Styela clava: one gene and its partners. The protein of the gene in region 3 interacts with the protein of the main gene of each other region in a biochemical or structural test. Links are inferred from orthologs where the notes say so. Each region holds a gene or a part of one and is shown on either strand. Other genes may lie near its edges.

Evidence for each region.
Region 1: the proteins of sequestosome-1-like (region 3) and microtubule-associated protein 1 light chain 3 alpha-like form a complex in vitro, tested with the Homo sapiens proteins (6 studies listed by BioGRID and IntAct, with this or other methods). The link is inferred for Styela clava from reciprocal best matches to the Homo sapiens genes SQSTM1 and MAP1LC3C.
Region 2: the proteins of sequestosome-1-like (region 3) and gamma-aminobutyric acid receptor-associated protein-like 2 form a complex in vitro, tested with the Homo sapiens proteins (7 studies listed by BioGRID and IntAct, with this or other methods). The link is inferred for Styela clava from reciprocal best matches to the Homo sapiens genes SQSTM1 and GABARAPL2.
Region 4: the proteins of sequestosome-1-like (region 3) and dnaJ homolog subfamily C member 10-like interact in a test that uses a peptide from one of them, tested with the Homo sapiens proteins (2 studies listed by BioGRID). The link is inferred for Styela clava from reciprocal best matches to the Homo sapiens genes SQSTM1 and DNAJC10.

The regions. Positions count from the first base shown.
Region 1 is NC_135250.1:15,924,854-15,932,715, forward strand, and holds the start of microtubule-associated protein 1 light chain 3 alpha-like, read left to right. Parts: upstream 1-4,843; 5' UTR 4,844-4,858; coding exon 4,859-4,894; intron 4,895-5,339; coding exon 5,340-5,505; intron 5,506-7,862.
Region 2 is NC_135263.1:15,652,108-15,658,921, reverse strand, and holds gamma-aminobutyric acid receptor-associated protein-like 2, read left to right. Parts: upstream 1-4,231; 5' UTR 4,232-4,296; coding exon 4,297-4,336; intron 4,337-4,655; coding exon 4,656-4,711; intron 4,712-4,815; coding exon 4,816-4,988; intron 4,989-5,224; coding exon 5,225-5,318; 3' UTR 5,319-6,292; downstream 6,293-6,814. UniProt on the Homo sapiens protein: Ubiquitin-like modifier involved in intra-Golgi traffic. Modulates intra-Golgi transport through coupling between NSF activity and SNAREs activation. It first stimulates the ATPase activity of NSF which in turn stimulates the association with GOSR1.
Region 3 is NC_135250.1:30,231,282-30,238,477, reverse strand, and holds the start of sequestosome-1-like, read right to left. Parts: upstream 3,003-7,196; 5' UTR 2,919-3,002; coding exon 2,802-2,918; intron 1,631-2,801; coding exon 1,484-1,630; intron 746-1,483; coding exon 715-745; intron 364-714; coding exon 116-363; intron 1-115. UniProt on the Homo sapiens protein: Molecular adapter required for selective macroautophagy (aggrephagy) by acting as a bridge between polyubiquitinated proteins and autophagosomes.
Region 4 is NC_135252.1:14,591,376-14,598,866, reverse strand, and holds the start of dnaJ homolog subfamily C member 10-like, read left to right. Parts: upstream 1-4,489; 5' UTR 4,490-4,565; coding exon 4,566-4,754; intron 4,755-5,425; coding exon 5,426-5,591; intron 5,592-6,338; coding exon 6,339-6,389; intron 6,390-6,827; coding exon 6,828-6,910; intron 6,911-7,491. UniProt on the Homo sapiens protein: Endoplasmic reticulum disulfide reductase involved both in the correct folding of proteins and degradation of misfolded proteins.

The DNA of each region.
Region 1 (7,862 bases), about 14 Mb from region 3:
ATTATCTCCATTTAATGAGCCCAGTTCTTTAACGCGAACTGTTTATATGATAAACTCAAATCTGGTAATCTCAATATCTGGCACAACTAACATAAAGGTAGAAGCTAAAATCGAGTTGAAAGAATATAAAATAATTACCGTACGTCTGTGATTCCGGGAGCCACGCTGACAGGAGAAGATGGCAGGCGAGGTCGCGCGGTCAGCGATTCCAATCCGATCGCTGAGAGAGAATACTCGCAGGAGTACAGAACAGATAAAGTTGATTTCCGTTCAGTTTACGATAAGACGCAAACTCTTTCCAAGTGTAGTCAAAACAAACCGACCAGATAAATTCAACGTATTTGCCATGTGTTCAATATCAGTAACTTTTGGACATTTGTTTTGGTCGCTGACGAATTGATCTGAGAAACAGTATGACTGGCGAAGTGTAGCTTTCACTTGAGATAATGATAAAGGGTTAGCCGTCGTACGGCATATTGACTTGAATTATGTGCGGGTCTGTATTTATAATATACGTCGTTTACTATTTCCCATTAGTTTACTGTTTTATAAAAGTTGCATTTACGTGCGCAGTGGATGGGTCTGGTAGCAGATTAATTATTTTGTTGAGTCGAGACTCAACGGTTTTTGATGATCAATGTCAATGAATAGACCTTTTGTTTTTACGTCTTCTTGTTGGCCGACTCCGGCATATAGCCGATCTGATCCGATGTATATAAGCAAATGGTATAATTCATTAAAAGTTAAGGGTCTCATGTAGTTTCGTACCTAACGTACTTCTAGTAGGCGTAGCATAACAATTTTTTACGTGTCAATCCTAACCCCCACCAGACCACACCATCCAAAAATTACGTCACTACGACGTCACAGTGACGTAATAGAGCTCTTCAAACTATGCGAACTGTCATCCAAGACGCGCAGACGATAACCCGAAATCGAACAGTCATTTCTCTCGTTTTCTCGTCGCAACGATCCCGATAGGAGAGAGATCGCTGACGTTAGTCAGTTCTTTATCGTCGGCGCCGACGTCATTTCGGGCGATCGTACGAGTATTTGGCAAGCTCTATGACGTGATTGTGACGTCGTAGTGACGTAATTTTTGGATGCTGTAATCAGGTGAGGGTTAGGATTGGCACGTCAAAAAATTGTTATGCTACGCCTACTAGAAGTACGTTAGGTGCGAAACTACACAAGACCCAAAATTAATACACATTTGCAGGCTTTGTATCGATATTTCTACGGTGATATACGCACGTTTTCTTCCTTCTGTTCCGTTGAATAGAATAACAAGTTTTATGATGAGACGAAGAATTATTTGTGTACGACATGACGAGTGTAGACCATTAGTGGAACGCACAGCATGAGTTAACACCATGCAGCCATGTGACCGTGTATGACCTATGTTGTTAACTTCTCCCTGGCCTTGTAGTCAAACGTCAGGGACTAACTTTCCAAATGGTTATAATTGACGTAATGTACCTTGGGGCATGTATTGCTATCAGCGCAACGGACCGCATAGATTGAGCAGAGCGTGTCATATGACCGTTTAAATGGCAATAAAACGCTCTCTTCATTGTTATTGTGTTCCTCCGGTCTCGTTAGAAAATTTCTTCATTGTTAATTATATAATACAGAATCCATTCGAGAACCATTTCTACCAAGATACATTCTTGGGTGAATAATTCATTCACCATATTACCCAAGTTAAATTAATTACGTAGTATGAAATCAACAAATTTAGCGCCGAGTGAATCAAGTCAATAAAGCCGCTTGTGGCACCTTTGCGTGTCAGGTGAAACCAGTTGCCTGTTGTTTATCGACGATCGACGCACATCGAGCGATCTTTGTCCCAAGGTTTTGTTGGAGGTAAACAAGTACCGGCTGTTCGGCGGTAGATTACGTTGAGAGGAGTTTAGACTGGTTGGGCGACAAGAGACGTGTGTTATTTATAGAGTAGCCTACATCAACTGCTTTAAAAAACGACGACAAAAATGAAAATGAGGTATTTGTGACAGGTATCAGTAAAACAATTATTTATTTTATTGATCTTAGCAATTAAGATGTGCTTTGAACCACGAGTTGGATTTATCCACCAAGCGTTTACTTTAGACAGATATTATTATCACGGTTCTTGCAGCGAGTTACCCACTTACGATTATGATGAATTTTGCGTAATGGCAACGGATTGATTTTGATTGCTATATTTGCATACAAAATATCTGTTGCTGCAATTTTGTGCAATCTAAAATCAGTTTATCAAATATCTTGTGTCAGCCACTGCCATTTCTTACCAGATTGATTACATCGTCTGTTTTATTACCAGATCGTAAATAGTGACCATACTGTAAAATATTTACTTTTGCACGAATATTCCAATTGTTCCTTTTACTAAATATTGGGCGTTTCCGTAGTATGTGAACCTAGATGGCGGACAACGGAACGTAGTATGTGTACCAGGTTAGGTTTTGATCCTAATTTTATTCCAATTTTCTCTATTTTTGTTCTATTACGAACTCGGAGACTAGCCAAGTGACTCCCGTAGTATTTGTACCTGAAATTATGGCCTATCCCTAACTTGGTACACATTCTACGTTCCGGTGCCCCCCCATCCTAGTTCACATACTACGGGAGTACCCAATATTGTCATATCGAATAATTGTCGTGCTTGCCAAAGGTCAGGTATTTTACTTATGCATGAGTTCGTTCACACCAACAGAAATCGCTAACGAAATTACCATCATTAGTAACTGCCTGGAGTTTCTCACTGACAGTATTGCGAAATCGATTTGGTTGCATTATTGAGAATAGTTGAACCAAAAAATCTATTCAATTGCTCTTGTTAACAAATCTCGAGTCTATTTGAAAAAAGGGTTAATTATTTGATGAGATGTTTTATATTGTAAATCTAATTCACCATCTATTAGAGGTTTAAAAGATTTATCGGACTGTGGTTTAATCAAACTTTGTGCACACATATATATATATATATATATATATAAATTCAACTAATTCCCGTACCCATGATTCCAATTTGCATTTTTGAACGAGATTGAATCATGAAAGCCATTTGTATATTATGTCTCAGCATCTTTTACGCCATATAATATCGATCTCCAGATTTACACACAAAATGACAGTAGCAAAGTTTCTGTACTTTAAAATAGAAGTCGCTAGAAGACTGTTACTTTTATTTTTCTCGTAGTCGTATGTTACCCGAAATTTTGCCCAAAATTTGGTACTCCCGTAGTGTGTGTATCAGGTTAAGCCATAATTTTATTACGACTTTCCTTATTTTACGAGTTCGGGGACTTTCTGTGTTAGCCAAGTGAATATACCCCCTGACCATAGGTTTCAGTCCCTTTACACAACTTGATGTAAAGTAGGCGAACAAAATTAGTTACCTCCCTATCTCTACACACACTTCTGCACCCAAAATTTCAATATATTTGATGAGAACACTTTTCATGACTCAAAGTCTGATACGAACACATTATTTTGTTGCGCTTGTCCACCGATCTAAGCAAAAAGCTCGGTGCCCAGCTAAAGCCGTACCTTTGAGAAGCCTGTGTGTTCATATATTTAAACATTTCTATATTTTTTTATTTTGTTTTACTATAAGTGTGCTGGACTTGAGTATCGTAATTAGTCATTAAAATAGCCCGTGACTTCAGAGAACGTAATCATATATATATATGATTGTAAATAATTGGAACTTCAAACGTGTTTAGGCGGGTATTTCTCCTTCTATCGACCATGACTAATGACAACTTGTGACTAATTATTGCGTATATATATATATATTATGATTCAAATAAATAGGACTGATCACCTAAATCTGATATTAATTCAGAGCAAGTTCCGTCATTTGCTTTTCGTCATTTGTCACGCGTGTGAATTAATACGTGCAACCACACATGACACACTGTTCGCCATGATGCCATCCTTAATTTTTCTTTGAAAGAAATGTAGCATAAACTCGTCAACTGTCACTAATCACTATATCAGCTGATCATCAGTTTAATTTACTAAACACTGTCAAAAAGTATGTAATTATCTGCAACATTAAAAAGTAAATAAATAGTTTGTGTAACACGAAATTTTACGAAATCGGACGCAAACCATATCGCTCTATAAACGAATTTAAGATTTGTCCTTGCGCCGTTTGCAATATAAATCTAATGGAATAGAATAAAGGTGGTATTTGAGACGGTGCGATAAACTATTTCCTATTAGCTTTATCAATTACCAGCGTCAATTATTAGTTGACGCAACGGTTAATTAGATTAAACAGCGTTGCACTCAATAACTCCACTGTTGTAAACTTTGTTTTCGCCTTCGCTTTGTCAAGATTTGGTTGGATGGTTTTCCTTGTTGATGTTGGTTTGTTGTGGACTGTTTCCCTTTCTACTGAGGATATAATATCGGAAGACGGCCTTGAGTGGAACAATGTGATGGCCTAATTGCTATACAAGGCATCTCAGCTGAAAATAGTCTGACATGTGATATTATTAGTCTTTATAACAAAGCCAAGGTAGAAGATGATTACGTAGCTATCTGAAAGTCGTATTCATTTTATCAACTCATTGATTCCAAGATAGCTGTGATAAGAATGACCGACCATTTCAGTAGAGCATTTGCTTGTACATTTGCTCATAATGTAACACATCAACAATGAGTGGAAATACAACAGTCTTCACTTCCGTTAGACCGCTTTCGCGTTTCGAATGTTAAGTGACGATTGGAAAGATATCCGCCAGCCATAATTATTTAGAAATCATTCAGGCCTGTCCGTAAAAAAGCTCTGGTAATAACGCTGAGATGTTTAGATAACTAAACGGTTGGTTATGACGATGTTGTGATGTTTGATATATGTTACTTACTTGAATATCGTTGGGTGAGTAAAGATCCAGGCATTATTGTAACACAGTTAATCAAATTAAGGCGAATAATTACTTTTATGCTCACTAATTTACAATGTAAGATAAATTTTGATGACAGTGGGAGCAGCAGACTGCTATTATCTCGATACGTTCTCAGGCGATAGAGCATGCAATCGACCTATTACGCTGAAATGATACCTATATGAGATTTTGTAGCTTTCGGTTGAGGAAATGTAGTGAAGCGCTACATATATTGTTGATTTGCCAATAGCACAGTGGTGTTTTTCTATCGAATTACTTGGATGATATATTGGTTGTGCAGGGATTCGAGTGTTATGCTAATGCTTGTAATTCCTAGATATATATATATCTGTAATTCAAAGGAAAACACAGTTTGGTTACTAACACCTTTAAATTCAGCTTTGCTTGTATTTAATAATTTGTCATCTTTTATCATAGGTTCTTACTTATAGTATTCTGGTATTTGTTACAAATTTGGATATTATATTTTTGGAAAAGAAGAGACTGCATCGGATTTTGCACATGGCGCCTACTAACGGGAATGCAGCACAAGACGCAAAAAATGAATACAAATATATACCATTCAAAGAGAGGAAATCATTAGGTAAGTGTATATAATGTGTATTTATACTACATATTATCTCGTATTTGTAATTCAAAGTTCCCTAAAAAAAGCGGTTATGCTTATATAGTTTTAGTTTCTAAATCGAATTCGCATACTTGTGATATATACTGTACAGAGGCAATTGAATAAATGAAAATTGATGATTTTGTCGTCATATAGTCGTCGTAGTTTTATTTGGATATGTACATACACATGACATACCCTTTGTTCTGAGAATTCATGTATTTTCGATTTCTAGTAGCATTTAAAGGGTTATCTCATAAATTATGTATTCTGTTACTTTTCATACCGTCATAATTAGAATTTACATTTTTATTTGTGTAGGATTGAAACATATAACAGGGTCGGAAAAGAAGATTTTATAAGAAAATCGCTAAAATTTTAACGCATTTTTGACGGTTCCATTACATTTGAACCCACGACAATTGCACCTGCATACTATTGCACTTTTGGAAATTTTTTTTGTTTTACGGATATTTGAACTCATACTAACCCTAACCCATGGGTTTTAGCACCCACATATAGATTGAACCCGCGGATATACACGTGGGTTCAAATGTACGTGGGTTCAAATGTACGGTCTCCATTCTTGACATAATCTATTTGTTATTTCATACAATAACTAGTAGGCATATAGGCTCGATATGTGCTATTATTACTCTCTATGTAAACGTCTGTGAATACAAAGTATTTATTGTAAGCAACGGTTCTCCTCCACATCAATAATACTCGTGCCACCACGCACCAGGAATGAGTGAAACTAACTGCCTTTAAAAAGATTTCCGGATTTCTGCCAATCGTATAGATTTTCTGATCGAAAACATTTAGCTAACGCAATTTGGAAGGTCAAATGCGATTGGAATAGTCTCGAACAACAATAGAAGCTCTGGTTTCAGGTTGAATTAATCCTTAATCCCATTGATGGGTCATGTAATAGGTCCCGTCAGGTGAATTAGTTTTTGCGTAAAGTCCATATATTTAATAGTTAATATAGGATTATATATTTAATAATTATAGGAAAATGTAAATAATATCGGAATAAACAAATGAAATATAAATCAAAAATTCAACCGATGAAATTTTCCTTACATTTTAACTTTCCAAGTGTGTGTGTGTGAAGTTGCATATGACGTCGTCAATCGGCGGGAAATGCGACCCATATATGGTGCAATATTGACCACGGGTAAAGGTATATCTCAGAATTCCATCACATATTCAAACTATTTCATATGAATTGTCATTATGGTCACATTAATGCCGTTTGTTCCGAGAGTACTTCCAATTGCACAAAATACATGACCCAATAGGAAAAAGTTCAAAACAGATCACTGAAAAACTACATGATGAACGATTTCTAAAAAATGCGTTTTATGTTATATTGGTGCAATTTTCTCGTCAAAAATGCAGTAATTATTGATAAGTGTTAATTAAGCCTTATCAATTGTATTATCTAACAGTTTGCTTTCGACAGAAAGCAAATAAAATTGATTAATTGCGTAAACACGTGCGGATTAATATAATTAAAATACTTTACATAATATATTTGCATGGTATCTTGGAATTTATGGGAAAATTCGAAGTATTTCATTTCATATTATTGTCAGATTTATCCATTATTGAAGTACTGTATATGCAAGTGTGAACCAGAGGTGGTTAAAGGTGGGAAATTCAAAAAAATTGTTCTTTTATGGTGTATGTGTTTGTTTTATTTGGTTAGAATCGATCACCAAAAGAACCGCTTATAACAAACAAGTAGGGTATCGACGTACGGAATCCATCGAGTGCGTGAGATGTATCCCCGTTTGCACTTCTCTTCCGCGAACGATGAATCACGTGATCGTCTGCACGAAAAGTTTCTCTGATATTGCCACGTCGCGTTGACTGAAATAATGACATGATAAATAATGCTGAGGAAATTTTATTTTAACGTTCAAGTATTCTAATGCAGTGAATTCTAACCTTCCTATCCTACCCGGCAACAAAATTTCAAAATGAATGAAACAGCTGAGTTGTTTCGATAAAAATATTTTGCAGCGAAGTGCGAGTAAACACCAGCAAAGGATTATAAGCGATAGCGCTAAATTCGCAGCAGCGGTAAACGCAAATTAGGAAGAGAAATGAGGAGTTCCGATTCAGTGGATGGGTTGGTCTTGTGATCATGCAATAATGAAACGTTATTATTATATATTTCGACTAAACAATGTGGACAAACGAGATACAGCGACTATAATAAACTCGGATTGAATATTATTGGTCCCGAAGTGGACCTATGGATCGTTTTGTTATTTTGTTGTTCATCTTGTTAGTCTTTCTTTTCTTTTCTTCTTGTTGTGAAA
Region 2 (6,814 bases), on a different chromosome or scaffold from region 3:
ACGAGACCCACCTCCGGAGCACCTCACATTATTTTAAAAGATGCGCGGCCGCACGGGTAATACGTGACGCGATACGCTTTGGTTTTTCTCGCCCTTCCCCTGGGTGTAGCGTTATTGTTATCACAGGTATTCTCACTTTTGCACAACCTAATTCATTTTTGTTACAATTTAATGTTTCTCCCATTGCCAAAATCATTCAACGGTGTAATTGTCGGCACTAGGGAAAGAAATGAATAAGGCAAACAAACCGTATTTCATTACAACAATTAGTTATTATCGCTAAAAAAGAGTAAAAAGACTAAATAGGTTTAAAGTTATTGTGAACAATTTTCACCGACGTTATGAATTTCGTGCAAGGCCCGAGCCTACTTTGATGGCAAAGATAGTAGCATTACTATGTCGAAACGCTTATTCGACTTTTCAGACCGCAGAAACTATGCGAAAAATAACCCTGTCTGTGTTCGAGATTGCAAGAATGGGCAAAATAGAATATTTTTATCGAATCGAATATTTTTAACGAATTGTCGAATATCGGATATTTTCAATACAAATACAATGGGCATCCAGAATGCTAGGCATTCTAATGTTGGTGTGCTATTTCCGCCCGTCCTCTCCTTTTTTACAAGGACTAATTCTTACGCAACGTTTGGTTTTATATTTCTTGGAGAACTATGCGTTCATATGGGCGACATATGTTAAAGACGGCTATTAAAGAGTGAATTCGGGATTTTATTCTGATTTTTATCTTTTAGGTCGGTTTTGATCTTTCTCTTCACCGATTATAAATAAACTGTCCCAACTTTAAGCTAACAATATTATCATTTCTGACGTCGAAATGCGGATATTTAACGATAGTTGACCTTTTGCTTTCCTATTGTGTCTGTTTTATTTTCACATTGAATGGTGAATAAAAAGCCTGAAAAGTCATTGCGTAAATCCTGAATGTTATTTTGAGTTTAAATATTAATTAAATAAATAGGCAATAATCGCAATTCTACTAGTCAAATAATAATTCCTTGGTCAAATTTGGGAAAAATTTCGCACAATAATTTATTACCTTGGTTGACATCGACAAATTTGCAGTTTCTGTTTGTTAGCAAGAGCCGTGAACAATTCTTTGGAAATTCAAGGGATTGGAATCACTTGGAATAAGTTCGAAAATGAAATCTCTTCGTGGCTCACCAAAATCTGGTTGGGAACCACTGCATTAGATATTCAAAAATGCCCAGCCCTATCAATGAGCCACATTATGCAAAATATTGAAATCAACTACTGGTATATCATGAAGTTTGATACGGCCTACTTCGTCGGCAACAACAAGTCCTATTATAAATACCGAGCTGCGGTGATTTGTGTCCAAGCGGTAAGAGCGCCCAGACCGCAAGGCTTATTTCGACTCCAAAGAGACTTGCCATTAATAACCTCCTCAATTGACCCCTAGGCAAGTTTGTTCCCACACATGTTAAAAACAATGTAGGTCCAAAAATTTATTCAACTGAACCGAGTAAATATGGTGGCACTGGTCATCAAAAACGACATGGAATCCTCCGACGGCAGAAATGATGGAGAAGTTTCAGGAGACTTGCCGCAGAAAGACTATGTGCAGGAGTTCGATGTCCCCAATTCAATGAAAAATTTATGAAATAAATAGTCAATTAATTGACATATTGATCTATTTCGCGGTAGGCTATATCCTTCCCATTATAACGCTTAATAAATCAACGGTGAAACGTTTTCAACATAAGTCATATTTTGATTACTAGTTGAGAGACCGCGATTCGAGTTGGTCGTAATGGCTGTGATGATATGTGTTTTGAATGCAAATGATTATCATGAGACTTACCGGATCCATGCGACAGCTGCTTTTTTAAAATCTAAAAAATGACAGCACCCAGGTGAAGAGGATTTACGCGAACATTACTTACGCTAAAATTGATTTAACAAAAGCTTAGGCACTTCTGGGAAGCTCATTTATAAAAAAGGTATATCACGGTTATACTTCGATATTGTTAGCTGAAGGCATCGTTTTGAACTACATTTGCAATATCTGGAAGTTTAGAAAAGCAGCTGGGGTCTAGTATGTATGCGTAGTTTTCGGAGGATTTTACAAACACAAGGAACTAAATGTCTTGAGCACTTACATGGTCATTTTAGGCAATCCTGGTCGAACTCACGCACTTATTTTGAATATTGAAATTATTCTGCCAAATTTTATACTATCGTTTTACTGTTGCGCCACCAATAGTGGGAAAAAACAAAAAAGACAAAACATGGTTAGATTACAATTTGCCTATGTGAAAAGGTTGGGTAGAAATGGGGAATACGATGTCAAATGAGGAGGCAGTAAAGCCAAGATTTGAATCTCAGAGGGCAAGCACAAGAAAACGCATACCGTCGCACTCCTGATTAACCCACGCGGGTCGAAATCCGATTGGGATATTTATGCATGAGATGAGTGCTGGTCTCATTGCCGTCGTAGGGTGGTTCACGTCTTTATAAGCCTATTATATATACGCTTTGGTTCACGTAACCGCTTGATTGTTACGACATCATCCACATCAGGTCAATGCATCTGATAAATGGTGATAACCACTCTCACGCTGGAAATTTATTGGAAACTGAAGGAGAAAACGTCTTGTCAGCTTTACCGCCTCGAGGGGTCATGCAGACAATAATCAGTCAAAAATTATCCCACGAGACTCACGTGGAAGCATCAGAATTCAATCCCGCGGAGTAGGTGGCTACTTGCGAAGGTGAAAGCTACTCTAAAACTGAATATAATAAATAAATATATTGGTCATCTGCAAACGAATGAACATTATGGACCTTTCCCCGACCTTTGACCCCCGGATAATTCTTTCTATACTTTACCATTGCAAAATTTTCGGGGCCATTTTAAGAGTGCTTTTGCGAGTTGGCGCCTGTAAAATGGGGTATGTGTTACAAACCATCATTATGATTCATCGCATACAACAATCTTTTTTTTAAAAGTTCCGGTAAAGAATTTCAGGCTAATCTATCACAGCTATTTCTACACTAATTTTTATTACTGCAATCAAATTAAAACTCCTAGGAAGACAGAGTGATCATTGAATTATCTGATTTATATTTAAGTTTCCGAAACACAACTGAAAACTAACGAATAGAGTTCAAAAACGCGAAAACGAGGTAATGTTTACAACCACACTTGAAAATCTGTCTGAGTGAGAAAAGTGTCTGAGCGGATGCGAAAAGGGGACATTGTTACGTCACTTTTTGCATCTTGCTGATTGGCCAATGTCACGAAGTAAACAAGGAAAACGATGCTCGGGGAAAGGTCCAGAGTAGTTCCCAACTTTTCGCATATCCGACACAATGGGGGCGTGCCCGATTCGTCACGTGATTATCGTCACTCAATAACAACAACAAAACTGATTAGTCATATGACGAGTGACGCTAGTGAAAGACAAAGCGACAAGCTACTGGCAATTACTGCGGTACTGACTCAGGTCTGTAGGTTATAGATGCAACGGCAACTAGTCCTTAAAAACTACTGTAGTATATTTGGTTATTACTGTATTACCGGTACCTACCTGCCTACCGATATCTCTAATAACATTATCAGAATACAGGGACATCCGGATATACTGATATAGCTGTATAGGGAAAACCAACTTCCTGACTAGGCTATTTCTGGGCGAATTTATTTATTCAATAATCTGGTAATAGGCGTAGCTATAAATAGTGACATAAATAATGACAAAATAATAATATAGCATATTGATACAAAGAAATAGGCTATTTGGTTTTATTTTATGTCTTCGCTACAGTCTTGGAATACAGGAATAGGTATAAAATATGTGGAAAGAGGGTTTATTCATAAAATTATTCGAAAAATATATTTTCTCTATTTATTCGACTAATTTGAGAAAGGAGATGATTTTTTAACATTTCTTGGCTTCGATAATAAAATAATCTTGTTCCTAATGGAGGAAATGTCGAAGTATAGTGATCTCCGAACAAGCGAGATGGGTGTGGAATAATCCAATATCATCCAAATTTTGATAGCTAAATCCAATGAATCATTAGCAACAGGAACTAACAATCAATCAAATTAATCAATTAGTTTTGATTTGTTGAGATTCCTCACCTAAGTGAAATTTCAGCTATAACCCTAATATTTTTTCACTTCATACTTGTAAAAAAGATATAATAAGAGGATAAGAGGATACTTTTGTTTTTTATTTTCAACAGAATTTGTGATAAAAATATTTTAGTAAATTTTTTTTTTATATAGAATTTTATTATTTCCAATTGATGAAAATGAAGTGGCAATTTAAACTCGATCATAATTTTGGTAAGTTCAATTATAAGAGAGATTACAATCAACGTAATTGAGCATTGGTGGAACTTTGTGGAATAAAAATGAACTGATTTCATTGATTTGAACAAATTGTCTATTCACCTATTGGTTTATGTTGTGTAAAGGAATGCGTATGAAATGAATGAAAATATGCGTACTTGTGCAGTTTCAATTTCAGAGTTTCCTAATTGCTTATATAATTAGGTGTCAAAGATTGAATACTTATTGGTGTGAACAATCTGAACTTGACACTTGACTTTGATAAGTTGTGAAGTGACTTTACATATCATTTTAACACATCTTTTTTTCTCAGATCATCGGTGCAATGAGTCTACAAAGATAAGAGCGAAATATCCAAATAGAATTCCTGTATGTATATTATATATTTCATTTATTAGCTTGTATTTTAATGTTTGCAAATATCTTGCCTTTTCCTAACACTTGTCCTAATATAATTGTTTCCAAACTTTCAGGTAATTGTTGAAAAAGCAGAGGGTTCAGGAATAGTGAATATTGACAAACGAAAATATCTCGTTCCTGCAGATATTACTGTTGGTCAATTTATGTGGATTATAAGAAAAAGAATTCAACTTGCTCCAGAAAAGGCTATTTTCTTATTTGTTTGTAAAATGGTTCCAAATTCTAGGTAAGACTCAAAAAATTATATTCTGGTAAGGTCATAATATGAACAAATTGGGTATGTTTGATGTTATATTTATAAGGTGTAAATTTCCAAAAAAAAAACGTTGGTATTCAGATGTCAAAAGGCCTTGTTGGTAATGGTTTATTACTACACAATTGGCATCACTAGGCATTTTCATTGTATGGTATTTCAGCATAATGCTGCAAGACTAACGAAAATTCTCCTATTCCTCATTTTAGTTTAACAATGGGAGCATTGTATGAGGAACACAAAGATGAAGATGGATTTCTCTACATCGCTTACAGTGGTGAAAATACTTTCGGCAGCTCCTGAAAACAGCGCAAAATAAACTATACAATTTTAAGATATGTTAGATTATTAAATGGATCACAATTATTCGATTAGGATTTATTGTTATTGTTGTGTGGGATAATTTTTAAATTGTTGTCTTGGTGAAATTTGCTATTTGTCATAGTATAGACTTGCAAAAGTAAACAATAATTTATGTCCAAAATGTCTCAAGTTAATCTGAAATGTTTAGGATATAACAAAATTTCAAAATCACATCAATAATGTCTGTAAGACAGAAAAGGCAACTGAGATGTTAACACATTTTGCAGTTCAAATATTATTATAATATTTTTTAAAAATTTTATGGTATTTTCTGCGTCAAATTTGTAATATGTAAGTTAACACCGCCATTGTTTCTCCGTTAAGATAATGTCAAGCATGCACTTGTTGTAAGAGTTTATCCCAATTGACGATTTGGTCACCTCCGTCTCTCATTCTAAGGCTGCAAAGTTTAACCTTCAACCTCTTAGCTTCAATTCGTAGTATGGTGTTCTTGAAAAGTTGTTCAAGTTCCTCCCCACAGTAAATCACATATCAAAAATGTTTCAGTAGCTCTGTTGTATATCTGTTGCTTTTTAAAAAGTTAGAAATGTTGGAATAATAATTTTGGTATGAAGCGCTTAAACTTTTAGCCTGGTCGTTTAAAGAAATCAAAATTGCATTTTGCTAATTGTTCATAACCTTTTTATTGATTAAAAAGTATTCAAACTTGTTTAATCTTACACACCACTCATGCTTTGTATTGTATTTATTTTTGTTTCCACATGTGCATTTCAATTAGTCAGAAAACATGTGCTGAATTATATTTGATCCTGGATGGGCAAGAGATGAAGCTGATTCGGAAATACCATCCACTTTTCTTGACATGCACTTTTTGTTTAGATGTATGGGTGTATATTTTTAAATACTTTCTTTATATGAATACATGTGAATATTTAGCCTACATTAACACTCTGCACGCTTGTGAATGATGTAGATTGTAGGTATTCAATGCTTTTTGTTACCTGTGCATCCAATTAGGATTTCATAAGGACAAGTTCATAAAATGTGACTTAGTTAAGATTAATTTATAGTTATTAAACCGGTTTTTGCTCGCCTGAAATTTATGTCCTGGTGCCTGTCCTTCCACTGAATTAGCTGCTGGTTCTAATTCATACACTGTTAGTGAATTTTTTAGGTTAGAAGTTTTTTCCCAGTCCGTTACAGGTGTCTTAAATTGTTCAATTCTCCTGCCAGCTGCTATATACGAGGCAGGTAGGCCCTTGTCTTTGTATAACCAGTATTATTAGAAATGGCATCACTCGTGACATCGATCCTAGAGTCTATGAAATTTCCGTTGTCTCGATACTCCCATTACAGCCTTTTTGTACATATTGATCGTTTCGTTATTATGTTGTTGTTGATCAAGTTATTAATACTTTTCTTATTGTGAAAAGTCGCTCTTATTAACTACTGGACCAATCGCTTTGAAATCTTCA
Region 3 (7,196 bases):
ACCAACTATTGATGACATAATATGATTAAGAGCATAGCTGGCCATATCAAAAATCATCTTGACAGCGTTTCTCTCCCTCAGTTCAAATATGAAATCCTATCTCAAAAGAACGTACCTGTGCATGGCAGCCAGGTGCTTGCTGACCCCAAGGGCCAAACCCCCATGAGTGGGGGTGTGGTGGGGGCGCGAATCCAAACTGTCCCTGCCATTGATGTGGAGGAGGTCCATGAGGAGGGGGTGGAGGATGATGAGGTCCATGGGGACGTGGGGGGAACCCAAAACGTCCTTGATCATGGGGGTAATGGCCATGCCCAAACTGTTTCGCAAATTTCTTCCATCCTCTGCAGAAATCCTCTCCTGTAGCTGAAAAAGGAATTTATTGTTAAAAAATTATTTCAATATTTTTTGGGTTCTCTCAACAACTAAGGCTCTTACTTAAAAATCTTCAGAAACATTCGAAAATATAATTTTGTAATATCGAAGAAAACAAACAATCAAAGTGCCGATTCTTTTTAATCGTCATTACAATACATGAAAAAGCGCAGAAAATTGTTTGAAGATTTCCCTCGAAAACAAATCACGTGGCTGGCAGCGAAAAGTGGCGATCATTTGGAATAATCTAAAATTTGCTGAAAAAGTATTCAAATACTTCGATATTCAATCAGTTTTAAACAACCCTGTCTAGGCATGAGCGAAATTTTAAAAAGTAATTACCATTTTCGCCGTTGTTTCCATCTTTTTTAACCTGAAAATGAGATAAACAAAGTTTAAAAAATAATTGAAGCAGATTTAGAATACCTGGATTAAAAAAATAGAATAATGCAATTGAAATGCTGCCCAGTCATGGTTGATTTATTTATTGGGCCAGAATCAAACAGAATCATATTAGAAGATATATCTATCATCATCCTTGCAAGAATATACAGAGTTTCCATGAAGTCCCTTCACAATTTCAATTTTGTCATGAAGTCAGTCCTCAATATATGTTGACCAGGTTTGTTGTTTTTCATTCAGGAATTGTTCAAGTATTTTAACTTCATTTATTACCACGTGAGGTCCAAAACAATATATGGTATCGATAAGTTCCCTTTGTAATTTTAAAAAATTTCAAGACTTTATAGACACTATATATTATGAGGATTCACTAATCAGAAGAACCTTATATTATCTATACAGTACCAATGCTGCCCAGTCACGCTTGACTAATTATTATGCCTGTAAAAAGTATAATCTTATGTAGGAGCTCAGGGGCATTGGCCAAAAATTTCAAATGGGGGGTTCTGCAATATCTGTTTGTCAAGTTAGATCGAAACAGCTAGGACCGGTCAAACGCCAGAAAATGTGTGTTTTTATGAGTCTTGAAGGTGTAAAAAGCATTTCAAGCTACTATAAATCGCTATGTATGATATGCTTTTTTTTTACATTTCAAAAGGGGGGGAGTTTCGACACCCCCCCTGGCTACGCCCCTGTAGCAGCTACATACCTTCACGAACAGACGAAACAATCCATCGTTAATTTGACCGAGAGCCTGCATCAATTCTTCATCAGAACTGAAGGAAATGAAATCCTCTTCAGCATCTTTGTAATGCAGAGTGTACGCCTCACCGATGTTAGGGAACACTGAAGAAACCTGTTAACATATTGAAAATGAAAAGTGTTGGAAAAGAACTTTATCCTTGGTTACGCAAAACAAGCATGCGAGACCAGTACAACACAATACAGGGAGTCCTCGACTTACAACGTCGTTCCGTTCTTGAGACGCCGTGTAACCCGAATTTCAGTGTAAGTCGAAACATTATATATAATTACTCTATACATATCGTACTATATTGTAAAGTATGGTACTGAAATAAAATGTACAAATAATGCAAAAATAGTACTTTATTAGAAAAACAGAAAACAATTCCATATCAAATGAATAAAAGCAAATACAGTACAGTATTAATAAGATGGTGGAGAAGTTCGAGTAGGTAGATGGTAGAGGCTCTGTAGTAATTAGTATTATCTTTTATATTTTTATGGAGTGCGTTCGTAACCACGAAACAGCGTTTGTCGGGACCGTCGTAACCAGAAGACATACTGTACTCTGATTCCAAAAAAAACCCCGAATTGAAAGACATCAAATATAACTGTGAGTGCAAACCCCACCTTTACAAGACAGTCAGGGCCTCCATTTCGACGTCATCTAAATTTGCAACCACTGAGTTTATTGGAAAAAATTGATTCGGTATACCGAAAAATGAAAAGTCTTACTGTAGCATTCAAGAGTGCAGCCAAAAAACGCAAATTTGGGCACATGACGGTTACAATTCATTTATATTATTATGCAGACAAGCATGGCGCAATTTGACGCTTATGTGTTTGTTTTATAGAACTAAATTTCGGGACATCTTGGAATTGGAGAACTGTGCCATAGTTTTAATACAAGTTTTCACAAAGCTAGGCCACATTCAATCAACTAAAAATGGAAAGAGTACTGAATTGCAAGCTTTAACTGCCTTTTTTACAAATAAGGTAAAAAAAAATAAAATGACCCAATTAACAGATAAATGACAAGGCTACACAGGGCTATTTCAGTATTTAACAAATTGTTCATTTCGCTCCAGCTGAAAGCTGTTCCCATTATTTTTCGTTTTGTAGAATACATTTTTTTAAAAAATTTGTTAAGTTCCATGTCATACCAGTCAGTTGCAAGAGCATTACTGGATTTGTCATCGCTGTAGGGTGGTTTACATAAATGCTGGTAGGCGCCGGCTTTATCCACTATCAAATTCATGTATTTTATCCCAAGTTTTTCTTACCTTGTTCTTCAAATAGTCATAGCTTGACGAGACGTCTGTATCAATCGTGAAACGACGAATTTCTTTCACATTGTTCGGATTCCCTTTGATAAGGTATGCTTTATATTGTAGAGACATTATTCTATTCTAAATAACGCTTTCAATTCGTACTTAATCGTAAAGTATTGTATCCTAATGCTATATCAGAATATTGAAAGGAAAAGAAGATTGGAATGCATGTAGATGTAGGTATAATATTGTAATCGGATTTTTGTAGACTCTGAAATTAATCCAGCTGAGAGGAAAGCTGAAAAATGCTCTACTCACAGAATTCAGGAATTATTGTGTACGGTAGGTACCTTGCTCTGCAAACCACTTTTTAATAGTTCAGTAATCAGTATTTCTTCACCATCATGATAATATATTTTGTAGGAACAAAATAAAAACAAAAGTTACCGGTACCGGTACTACTGTACTACCTTACATCAGTATGAAAACTGCTTATTACACTTCAACATTATTATCTTGACTCCGTAACCTGGTAACTGCAGATTTATGTATAAAATCTAAATAATGACGACGGAAAGATCAGGAAAATGGGCAAAACCAAGATAAAGGTTTATAGCAAACACTATCTGACTGTAACCAGCGTTTGTGCCTATTCACCAACACAAATGGAAAAACATCAATCATACTACAGTACTAGAATAAATTAATGAACATCGTACATAAACACCAAGAAAATAAAATTCACGGTTGAAGCCTATTTCTGTATTTGTAAAATTTGGATGAGTGAAATTCGTGAAGAATAAAAACAACAATTCGAGGTTATGTGACGGCGCCTGTGCCGAAATGCCAATACCAATATTAAAATTTATCCCAATTAGGATAAATGTTATTAATGGTATTGACATTTCGGCACAGGCGCCGTCACATTCAATGTCAATCCAATGCCAGAATGCCGAAATGCCAATACCAAAATAACATTTAATTGGTTAGCTGCAAAAATATATATTCTAAAATCAAAATATTTAACTTCAATATGGCAAAACAACGCAACGCAGTGTCTCGTCAACAAATATTTTCAAGACTATGCCTCGGGCCAACAGAAGTCACGCGAATTTATATCCAAAATAACTCTTTCTAGAACGTTCTTTGTCTGTGATTCAGCAAAACATGGAGGCCGCCACTTTGTTTTGATTGCACAACGTGATCACGTGACGATGACTGTTCTTTGTTTCTTTATTATATTTGCAGACGTGTAATTTGAGATATCTCGTGACCAGGGGATTCACCGGAATTATCACTGTGTTATGGTCGCGCGGTGGTTCGTAATGTTTAATATATTAGTAATTTCTTTTTCTAGAACATTCGTGAGGGTTTTACCTCGCATTTCATGTGCTAAATATGGTGAAATAAGGTCATGTGAATCATTTTGCTATGCTAGACGTGTCCTGCGTGAGTTTCAATGGCCTATTTTACTTCACATGTCAGCTATGCCGTACTTCAAATACATTGTGGCCTATGCTTTTATCTGCTTATGTTTTATTAATATCCATTACTCGATACTAGATAAATTTATACTCCTAATCATATGGCGATGAATAGACTAGTTCCTGTCAGTACACAATTATATTTTTCCATATTCATTCTGGGGAAAGGTAAACGATTAAGACGAAATAATCACTTCGCAAACCACAGCCTCTCGGTAATATCGAGGAATAGTTGCCCAGTAACTCGTTCCAGATGCGCAGATTCGATGACCGAGGAAAAGGTAATCGACCTCGGACGTCGAGGAGTTCATCAATTTCCGAAATATTTACGGTGTTATGGTCACGCGGTGGGTCGGAACGTTTGATATATTTTCTCATACGAATTTATTTTGTGTGCAAAATATGGTGAAATACAGATGGTGTCAATCAATTTGATGTGATAGACGCGGCCTGTGTATGTTTGGATGGCCTGTTTCTCTCTCAGGCAATCTATGCCGTACTTCAAATATCTTTCTTGATTGTCCCACGTTTCATTGGTGGGTTTGAATTTTGGAGTAGATGAAAGCCGATAAGACGGCTTAATCATATAGCGAACCACGAGCTCTTGTGCTGTTTCCAGTCCGTATTCAGAATAGGGCATATTCGTCACAATAGCGACATAGCCTACCGTATACCGGTAACCTGCCGCCAACTGCTCCATGTTTTATTCACATTCATTACGAAATGTGAATTCCGAAAAGAAAAAATCATATAGCGAACCACGGCCTCGAATCCCGTACCAGCCCATATTGGGAATGGGATCAGTTAACCAGTTATTCGTTTCAGATGCATAGATTTTAATGGCGCAGGGATGTCGAAGAGTTCAGCAATTACCAAAAAATATTTACTTTGTCGCGCGTCATAAATTGCGTCGCGTCATGTCATAAATTAGGTACGTATCGTCGACCGCCGCAAATTTTCCGCTTGTCATTTACCAGGCACGAGTCGAAGATATATATACAAATCGGCAGTTGTTTAACGTCGTCCATGAAGTAGTCTTCGATATGTCAGTTTATCTTCCATACATTATCCAGGTATTGTCTCATTCACTTATCATGGGCCTAAGACGAATGCAAAACTCAGTAATTGTCTAACTAAGGCTCATGGTTGGTACATATTCCACTAGAGCTGACTTTGAAACCAATAATACTTTACAACCGATTGTATTTTAACGACCGTAAGCGTACTATTGGCGACGAGTTCGAGGTAGAGAGCACTTTTTATTTTTGTGTATTTTGCTGTTGTTGAATGTAATGATTACGTGAATCCACGAAGACTTGTGTTCCCATACTTTGTATAATTATCAAAATTCCACCTCTAGCGAAACGTTTAACTTGGCCCAAAATAACTCAAAATAGATCAAAAAACAAATTATTATCTGTATATTATTATCAAAAAATAAATTATTATCTGTAAATGTAGTGTCTGACATATATATCATGAGATACTGGTTCTTCTAATAAACATGCCTTATAATATGAAGGGAACTCTATAAATGTGCAGCGTGTGTGTTTGTCTCATACAACCCGTGGAATAAGTTGGTATTTTACAGAACAAAAAACGATAGTTGTCAGTGTGGATTACCAGAGATGGAAATAAAGCGATTAAGGATGCAATTTATACCTTTACGAAGACTTACTTTATATATTTTGAATTATATATATGAAATCATATTTTGTTTAGTAATAGTTTTCGATTAAATATAATAACTTTTAAAACTATAAAAGTCATATATTAAAAGCAAACCTTCACATATCTAAAGTGGGGCTAATGTTCTAAAATAAAGAATTAGGTGGGTTCCGAATCAAATACTCGGAAGGTCCGGATTCGGACCGAGTTTCGCCAGTTGAGTAGCCCTACTATAATGTATAAATTGCGCTTTTACTGTCGCGAATAGGCACATGTTTTTTCTATATTTTTAAACAAGTTGGAATAATGTTTTAATCGTGTATCAGTATGAAAACTTTGCAGCGGGTTTATGCACAAGACAAATCATTTGGTGCATATTTTTAGCCATCGTAATCTGAAATAATCTAGATTTCTTCCAGCATTTCACTTTGAATTTACACAATTTGAAAGAGATTGTTGTGTCAACCCGTATGTCCTATGCTTGCTTTAAATAATTTGATCCTGTTAGCCACAAAAGTTACAACTCTCTATGGCTACTTATGGAATGAAGTTCTGTAATGTGTTAAATCATAAAATGCGCATTTTTTGTTGTTTGTTTTAGCATTCCAAGATTTATATAATAATGACAGAACCAAATGTTTCCTCTAATTCTAGTGAAGGTGACCCTTCACCCCCAGCTGCTCAATGTGAACTTCCAGGTCATCCCCAACAACCCGGTATCTCGGACTTACAGCATGAAGAACATGCTCAATCAAGGAGAGTGATTGGGGGGCAACCCATCATAGAAGACATTGAACCTGAAGAAGCACCAGAACCTGCTCCTCCAGTAGCTGGTCCTGACGAACGCCCCGCTCCAGGTGTTACCATAGTACAACACCATTACCACTACAACCAACAAAGAACATTACACTATAACAATGGTCCTGTTTATAAAGGCAAATTCAAAGGCGAAATAAGTGGGTAAGTATGCTAAGTTAATTTGGTTTGTAGCTGCGACTCTAATTTTGATCTGAAGAACACACCGATTTATCTTTGACAACTTATTTTCATTTTGTAAGAGATATCACCCTTCGTTTAAATATATTTTTCGTACCACCTGAAGTATGCGCACCAAGATGTCGCATAACCTGAACCCTAACCTGGTCACAATCTGAGTTCAGGTTGTGCGCCATCTTGGTGCGCATACCTCAGGAGTACCTCTATTTCTATATGTTGTTGTGTGAGTTTCAAGTCAAGATAGTATGATGCATGAGGT
Region 4 (7,491 bases), on a different chromosome or scaffold from region 3:
CAATGAGTTGAAAATTTTTTTACCTAATTTCCTGGCACCTTTTTCTTGTCAATACTCCAAGCTGAGGTAATAAACATGACAATACATTTATGTCATCTGGAAGCAAAATATGCACACTAATTAATAGTTTGGCACATTGAGATAATACATCATGACAGAAAATACAAGTTAAAGATATGTATGACCATCACATGGTAATTAAAATTTGAAAAAAATTAATAGGGGCTGTGGAGTATGGAAAGTTCAAGACAAAGAAAAGAACAAATGTTCATAGTTCATGAACTCTCAATTTTGCCTCCATTGCTTTGTGAAGGCCAATATATTTCGAGTGGCTGAATTGGTTTACCTTTATGATAGCAACGATTTTGTATTTAATATAGCGAGATTATTTCAATTTAATTGAAGTGATATAATTTCCCAAAGCAATGCTTGAATCGTCTAGAATAGATCAGTGGTGTCAAACTCATGGGTTTTCGAGAGCCGCATTGCATTTTGAAAATTGTAAAAAGAGCCGCAAACAGTTTTTGATAATGTATACTTAAAAGATATTTTTAAGATAGTTTTAGTTTGTGACATATATTGTGATGCAACTAAACAGTTGGATTAAGTTTTATTATTTTCTTCAATTTCAAATGCAATTACATATTAATATTTGCATTCCACTATTATTGCAACATTTGCAAGTTACAGTATTTATTATAAAAAATCGTAAAATTCTATGTACAACCATCAAAATCATTTTTGAACAAGCTTTGAATAAGGAAAGAATAATACATACACTAAAAATAACTTATCTAAATATATGAACCTAAAATTAACAAAAATACTACAGTATAAACTCAATGTTTTAATAATTACATTTGTCCTGGCGTTTGGCATTTTTTTGTGTCACCAGCATACTAAGGCCAGTCTGAAATGATTTTATAGTACCAACTCTAACTAACGAGGCCACATGATCATGGGTTTATCTGGATCTTTACGAATGTTTAATTAATTCCAGTAATGCAAAAAAGTTACTTTTATCATGTATAGATCAGTAAAAAAACAAATGACAGATTTTTTCGACAAGACATTTCGCACTACATTGCGTGGCATAGGATTGCTTGAATTATTATTGATATTGATTTTTAGTAACTAAGTCGTTGTATAATTATATTAATATACAAACACATGGAAATTTTCTGTTCGAAGTTGGTCTTCGAATTTGTCATATTGACTGCTGAGCTTATTGTGTTTTTTGATTGTATTGATGGAAATATGACAAATTAAACAATGTGCTTCAGAATTTTGTGAAGAGCAGAAATGTTACAACTCCCATTTTCTTCGAAAATGCCACCTTCTTCATGTACTTTGCGTTTAATTTAATTACTCAAGTGTTTTATTCAAGTATTCTTTTGCTAGCTTGATGTGTATTCTTAATTGGGTCAAAATGTGGACAAAAAAAATCAATATTTCAAAACTACTTTCAGTAAATTGTTTTCTGTGTGAATAATCAATTTCACTTTAGAAGGTTTGAAAAATCTATTACATTTAGATAAAAATAAAAACTTCCAAAATACTATTACAATTACTGTTAAGCGTTCGAGGGCCGCACTGGAAGTTCTCTGGGGCCGCGAGTTTGAGATCCCTGGTATAGATTGAAGTTGTTCAAAAAATATATGATAGTATTTTATCATGAATGATGATTATACCCCTTCCGGAATTTCTTCTATAGTACTACCAAAAGTTGATGAACCAAATATAACACAGGTGCAGTGAGGTACCCGTTATCCTCATTTCCAAAGCTGTTTTAAGTATGTCTGGCGTGTTTTGTGCCTTTTTACAAATAAGACCGCTTATGCAATCTTACGCTTTGGAATTTTTAGTTATTTTCCTCAAGCCCTGCAGGATGTGGGGGCCATACACAACTCTACCGGAGGGTCAAATGTCTTTGCATGCCTCCATAGGTTGTTTTTCTATTGCAATTTTCTATTTTCAATTGCATTATATTTCTCGGAATCACACTGTCACTGATATGTCGCCAGACTTCTGATATCTCCCCGTCTGCTATAGTTGTCCTGTGAATAAATAATAGGAAATTGAGATTGGACGAATAGTTGAAAGTTTTGCTTTATGTCGGCTTAATTTCTTGATTGATATACTTGCTATTTCTGCTATTGCCTCTTGTGCTGCAAGAGTCTCGCAATGCTTAGACAGGTTTGTCCACAACTTTCACATCTGAAGAAAGAGAGGAGATTTATTAATTTTCGTTAAGAATAAATAAAGCAGTCTATATGATTCAGAATGGAAAAGCTAATAAATCCAATATCTCATGTTTTATTTAAAAAATATTTTACTGAATTTGGTATATAATCAATCAATCAATCATCATTTATTCGTCAACACAATTTAAACATGGTATGATATATAAAAAAATAATTACAAATATAAGTGGAAACTAACTTAAATTGTGTGACAGGAGTCGCGAGGGACCTCAAGAGGTCTTCAGGCAGCGACACCTAAAACGCTTGTTGATTCAGGTTAATAGCTTAAAAAGTTAATGAAACACCAAAACATTTCAAAATAAATATTTTGAAGAAAAAAAGAACATTTTCAAAAAACAAAAAATACCAAATATCCATCATAAGTATTTAAAATAAAAAAAAACATAACATCCTGGTTACGAGCATGTTTTTTTATTATTTAAATCAGTGACCAAATTCATAAAAGATGAAATGCACCGTAGAATTAAACGGTTGCACGAAAAGACATAAAATATGTTATATATCGATGTGGAGTAAAAAAAAAATATAACGATTAACTATAATTCCCTTTAGACTGAATCTTTCAGTATCCCCTGACATGATGCACGCAAGGTCTTTAACCAAAATTTGGTTTTCAAAAATTACGACTCCACGCACATCTGATTCGTTCGCAAACCAACTAATAAAAGGGTTTAGTCAGAAAATTACAAGCATTCGTGGCTCCAAATACTTGAGAAATCAGACTATACAATATAGACCGGTATGAGTGAAATGTTAGGTGAACTTGTTAACACTTTGATTCAATACGCAAATAAAAGTGAATGCGTAATAGTATGTTACAATGAGCAGCAATCAACAATGAGTATATATCCTCACTGATTAAAAAAATCTAACTGGAGGTGCATGAACTATTTGAAACCATAAGGGGTAAGTAAATATGTAATTTCGGCAAATGGGCGACTACGTACCGTACTGAATTAATAACTTCGTAGTATTTGACAAAGGCTGGCTTTCCCACATGTACTTAACAGTGCAATGCCCGGGTGTGATATACAACAATAGTATTCACCTTACCTTTTACCGATTTCTTTTTACCCCAACTTTCAAAAATATCATTAAAATCGACAACAACTGTCAAAGCAGGCACGAACACCATTCGTGCTACGCCTTGAAAGCAGCACACATCCGCTCGTTTTCGTCTCGCCAAGTATGTGCATTGGAGCGTGCTATCGAATACGATCTTCGGACAAAAATGCCGGAGTTGCGCATCATGTTGTTTAATGTCATTGGGTACAGCTATATATATTTATTTTTTGTATATCAGAGGGGTGGGGGCAGATACGAATGAGGTATTATGTTTAATATAATCTTTGGATACATATTTCAGTTGGAATATTCAAATATTTACTGTATAATTCTAACAAAGAAATTGTTTCAATTTAAACTTATACATCTTAGCATTTGCATGCAGTGCCTACGGTATTTTGGATGAGCTAAAACATTATCAGTTTGGTCTTGGTTATTTAAATTAATTGAAAAACCTCCATTTAATAGAGTGAATAAATTTTCTTAGTTTTCATTGTTATCATGACACTGAAAGCACTTCACTCCCATGTATCGATATAAATAGGGCAAAAATAACAAAAACATGCAAAATTAATTACAAAACTTCTGCGACCGAACACTTGTCAATCAAACGTACCCGGTAAACCGTATCGCCATGACCCCGGAAGTCAGTTGATTGCGTTGCCAAAATCAAATGTGTGAATGTTGTTATGAATTGCTATACTGTCTGTATTATATTGTATTAGCTAGCGTACCGGTACAGTTTATTTTCATTTAAATGCTGATTTGGTCGTCGCTTAGGTGTTCTGAAGTTGGTTTTATTTTTATACTAAATACCGGTATTATAATTAAAATTACTAAACAAACTACTGAACTACGGCACCGCAGGTCTCTAGGTACCGGTACCGGTACCGGTATTGAGGTACCGGTAGGCCTAATTGGGTTGGAGCATTGCAGTACCGGTACCGGTACAGGAAAAGGGGATTGAAGTGCCGGTATTCTGGTATTGATATAGCAGTATCAGAGTATAGTATTAAATATTGAACTTATCCTGTTTGTTTATTGCATGAAACTAGCTAATACAGTAATATCAACATGAGTTTGATGCTTTAATCGTTAGGCCATTTCCGGTACGATACCGGTACCGTACCGGTATTCCCACACAAACTAACAGCGTTTTGATTTATATTTTTATCCAGACCATAGTTCAACTTCCAATCATTGAATCAACAAAGTTATCAATCTGTGATTAGGAAAATGATTTTAAAGAAAACTTTATTTTTATGGACAATTTATATAATTTTTGTTTTCTCTTTCCAACTCGGACTTGTGCAATGTGAAGGAGATTATTATGATGTTTTGGGAGTTTCAAAAGATGCAACAAACAAAGAAATAAGAAAAGCTTTCAAAAAATTAGCATTGTTGCATCATCCAGATAAAAATACAGTAAGTGGTATACTTTTGTAAATTGAAGTTCTTTCAACTTTTAGGTTGTGATGATACGGTACAGCGGTAAGTGTTTAACCCAACCTACCAATTGCTGAACTATGTCTGCATGTGGTCATCCAGTCACCGTTGGTTACAAATTTTGGGTTTATATTCTGCAATGCCCCCCACCTCACCCAAGATGTAATGAATTAACGGGTCCCAAATTATAGTAGCTTCCCACTTAGCATTAAATGTTTATTTATAGCCTTGTCAGCAGTGGAAGGCTGAACGTAGCCTATAATATACAGATATACGGTAATCTCTCCATTTTTTTTAAACCCCCGAAAGCATCTTTCACCTTTGACTATTTGGTTGCCCAGTACATTTTTAACTCCTGAAATGTCCTCTCAATATGAAATTTTAGTAAATTTGCTACAAATCAGTTGTAATAAAGTTTGAGATATATCTATTTTATCATCTACATCAGTTGTGTGCAAAATTTGGTAATGAAAGATCTGAAATATTGACAAGGGCCACACAAAATGTCTTGGCGGGCTGGGACATGGCCCGCGGGGGCCGGATTTCTCATGGCCCTCCACTTGCACACCCCTAATCTAGATAATAAATTGATTAAAAAAAATGAAATGTGCTATTGCTCTTATTTATATTTATATATTTTCGATTTTTAGAATGATCCCCAAGCACATGAGAAATTTTTAAAAATTACCAATATTTATGATGTTCTGAAAGATGAAGAATTAAGAAAGAAATATGATCGATACGGTGAAGAAGGATTGAAAGATGATTTCAAGGAAGGAGGATATGAAAGTTACAACTTTTATAAAGATGAATTCGGTATGAAGATTGTTATTCTCGGTGACCGTACATTTGAACCCACGTACATTTGAACCCATGTGTATATCCACGGGTTCAATCTATATGCGGGTGCTAAAACCCATGGGTTAGGGTTAGTATGAGTTCAACTATCCGAAAAACAAAAAAAATTCCATAGGTGCAATAGCATACAGGTGCAATTGTCATGGGTTCAAATGTACGTGGGTTCAAATGTAATGGAACCGTTATTCTCATACGGGTTACAAATAGTGCTGGGTAGCCATATCACTGAGCTGTGGCATTTTGTTGGAGCAGGAGCTGGAGCCCAGCGTATCATATTCATGGCGCTACCAGAAATTTTAATGGCTCCAGATCTTGAATTTTCAATATAGATTTGAAACTTTTTGATTAAATTTGCATAATATAAAGTTTGAATTGAAAATTTAAAACCCTTATATCATGATTTTGAGTGCCATCGAAATTGCATTTATGTTAAAAGTTCAATGATAGTGGTCTGTTTCAATGTACTGTGGTTCCATAGCTGGAGCCATTGTGATTTTGAACCATTTCCCCAGCCCTCGTTCTAAATGAGGCAGATTGAAAAAAAAAGCCAAAGTGGGCTATCTGTAATATTTTTTCACTATTTATGCATTCAAAATATCAAGTTCAGAAGATATTTCATGTAGATGTACAGCTTTGATCATGGCTCTGAAACTCAAGTATTCTCTTCCAAGGTTTCAAATTTTATTCATTCATTTTGTTTTGCAGGAATCTACGATGACGATGCAGAAGTTACAACTCTCGATAGATCAGATTTTGGTAATGTGTAATATAAAGATAATATCCTTTAATTTCAAGTGACTAAGAAATGATATTTATTTTCTGATTTTTTGAGTATACAAGACATGAATAAGTTGATCAGTATTAGTCTGACAGATGGAGCCTTTAGTTCGTATAGAATGGACATTGATGACTAAAATTTCACATAAGACCATAAAATGTATAAAATATCATTTCTGTAGTTATATATGCATATGTTAACTTTTTTATTCGGTTGTTTTTATAGAACATCTTTTTCGGTATGTTTCTCCAGTTCTTACTCTCCATAGCTTTCTGCTCTTGGACAATTTACTTACATATAAAGAGTAATCTAAATACAATTTGACTTCAATCTGAAACATGATTTAAAAACAAAGGGTTGGGCTAGAAAAATGGCTTTTTTTTGATACATCATGAATTGTTATTTTAATTTATCAGAATCCGCTGTCAAATCTGGAGAAACATGGTTTGTTAATTTCTACTCGCCAAGATGTTCACATTGCCATGAACTGGCCCCGACCGTGAGTTCTATTCATTTTTATGTTTTCTTTTATTGATGTAGTACAATACATTACAAAGACTTGTGACTACAAATAATAATAATGATGCAGTAACCGACCAGTGTTCATGTGAACCACCCTATGCTGATGAAGATTCCAACAATTCTCTCGCATATAATTTTTTTCCGCTAGACTCTAACATGTGAACCTGCCTAGGGTAATCAAAGATGTGATGGCAAATTTGTTCCTAGCGTGATGCTCTGATTGCTGAAGTGTATATATATACATAAAATGATAACAGTAGCGTTCCATATTTACTCAATTTTGCTATCCTAACTTCAATGTTATAGTCATAAATTATAAGTTATTGGTATCTTAAATATATACAGTATATATCAGGGGTGTGCAACAAGCGGCCTATGAGCCACGACGAGCTATGTAGTGTGGCCCTTGTCAACACTGAGATTTTCCCCAATCAAGCTTGAAATTTTAATCCGACAGTGTATGTTTAAAAAGGAACACACAGGTATGATTATGTAATGTTTTTTCACTTGTCGCAGCGTTAAATCTTCTGCCGTTTTGCCTGGTGCCCTCGTTACTGT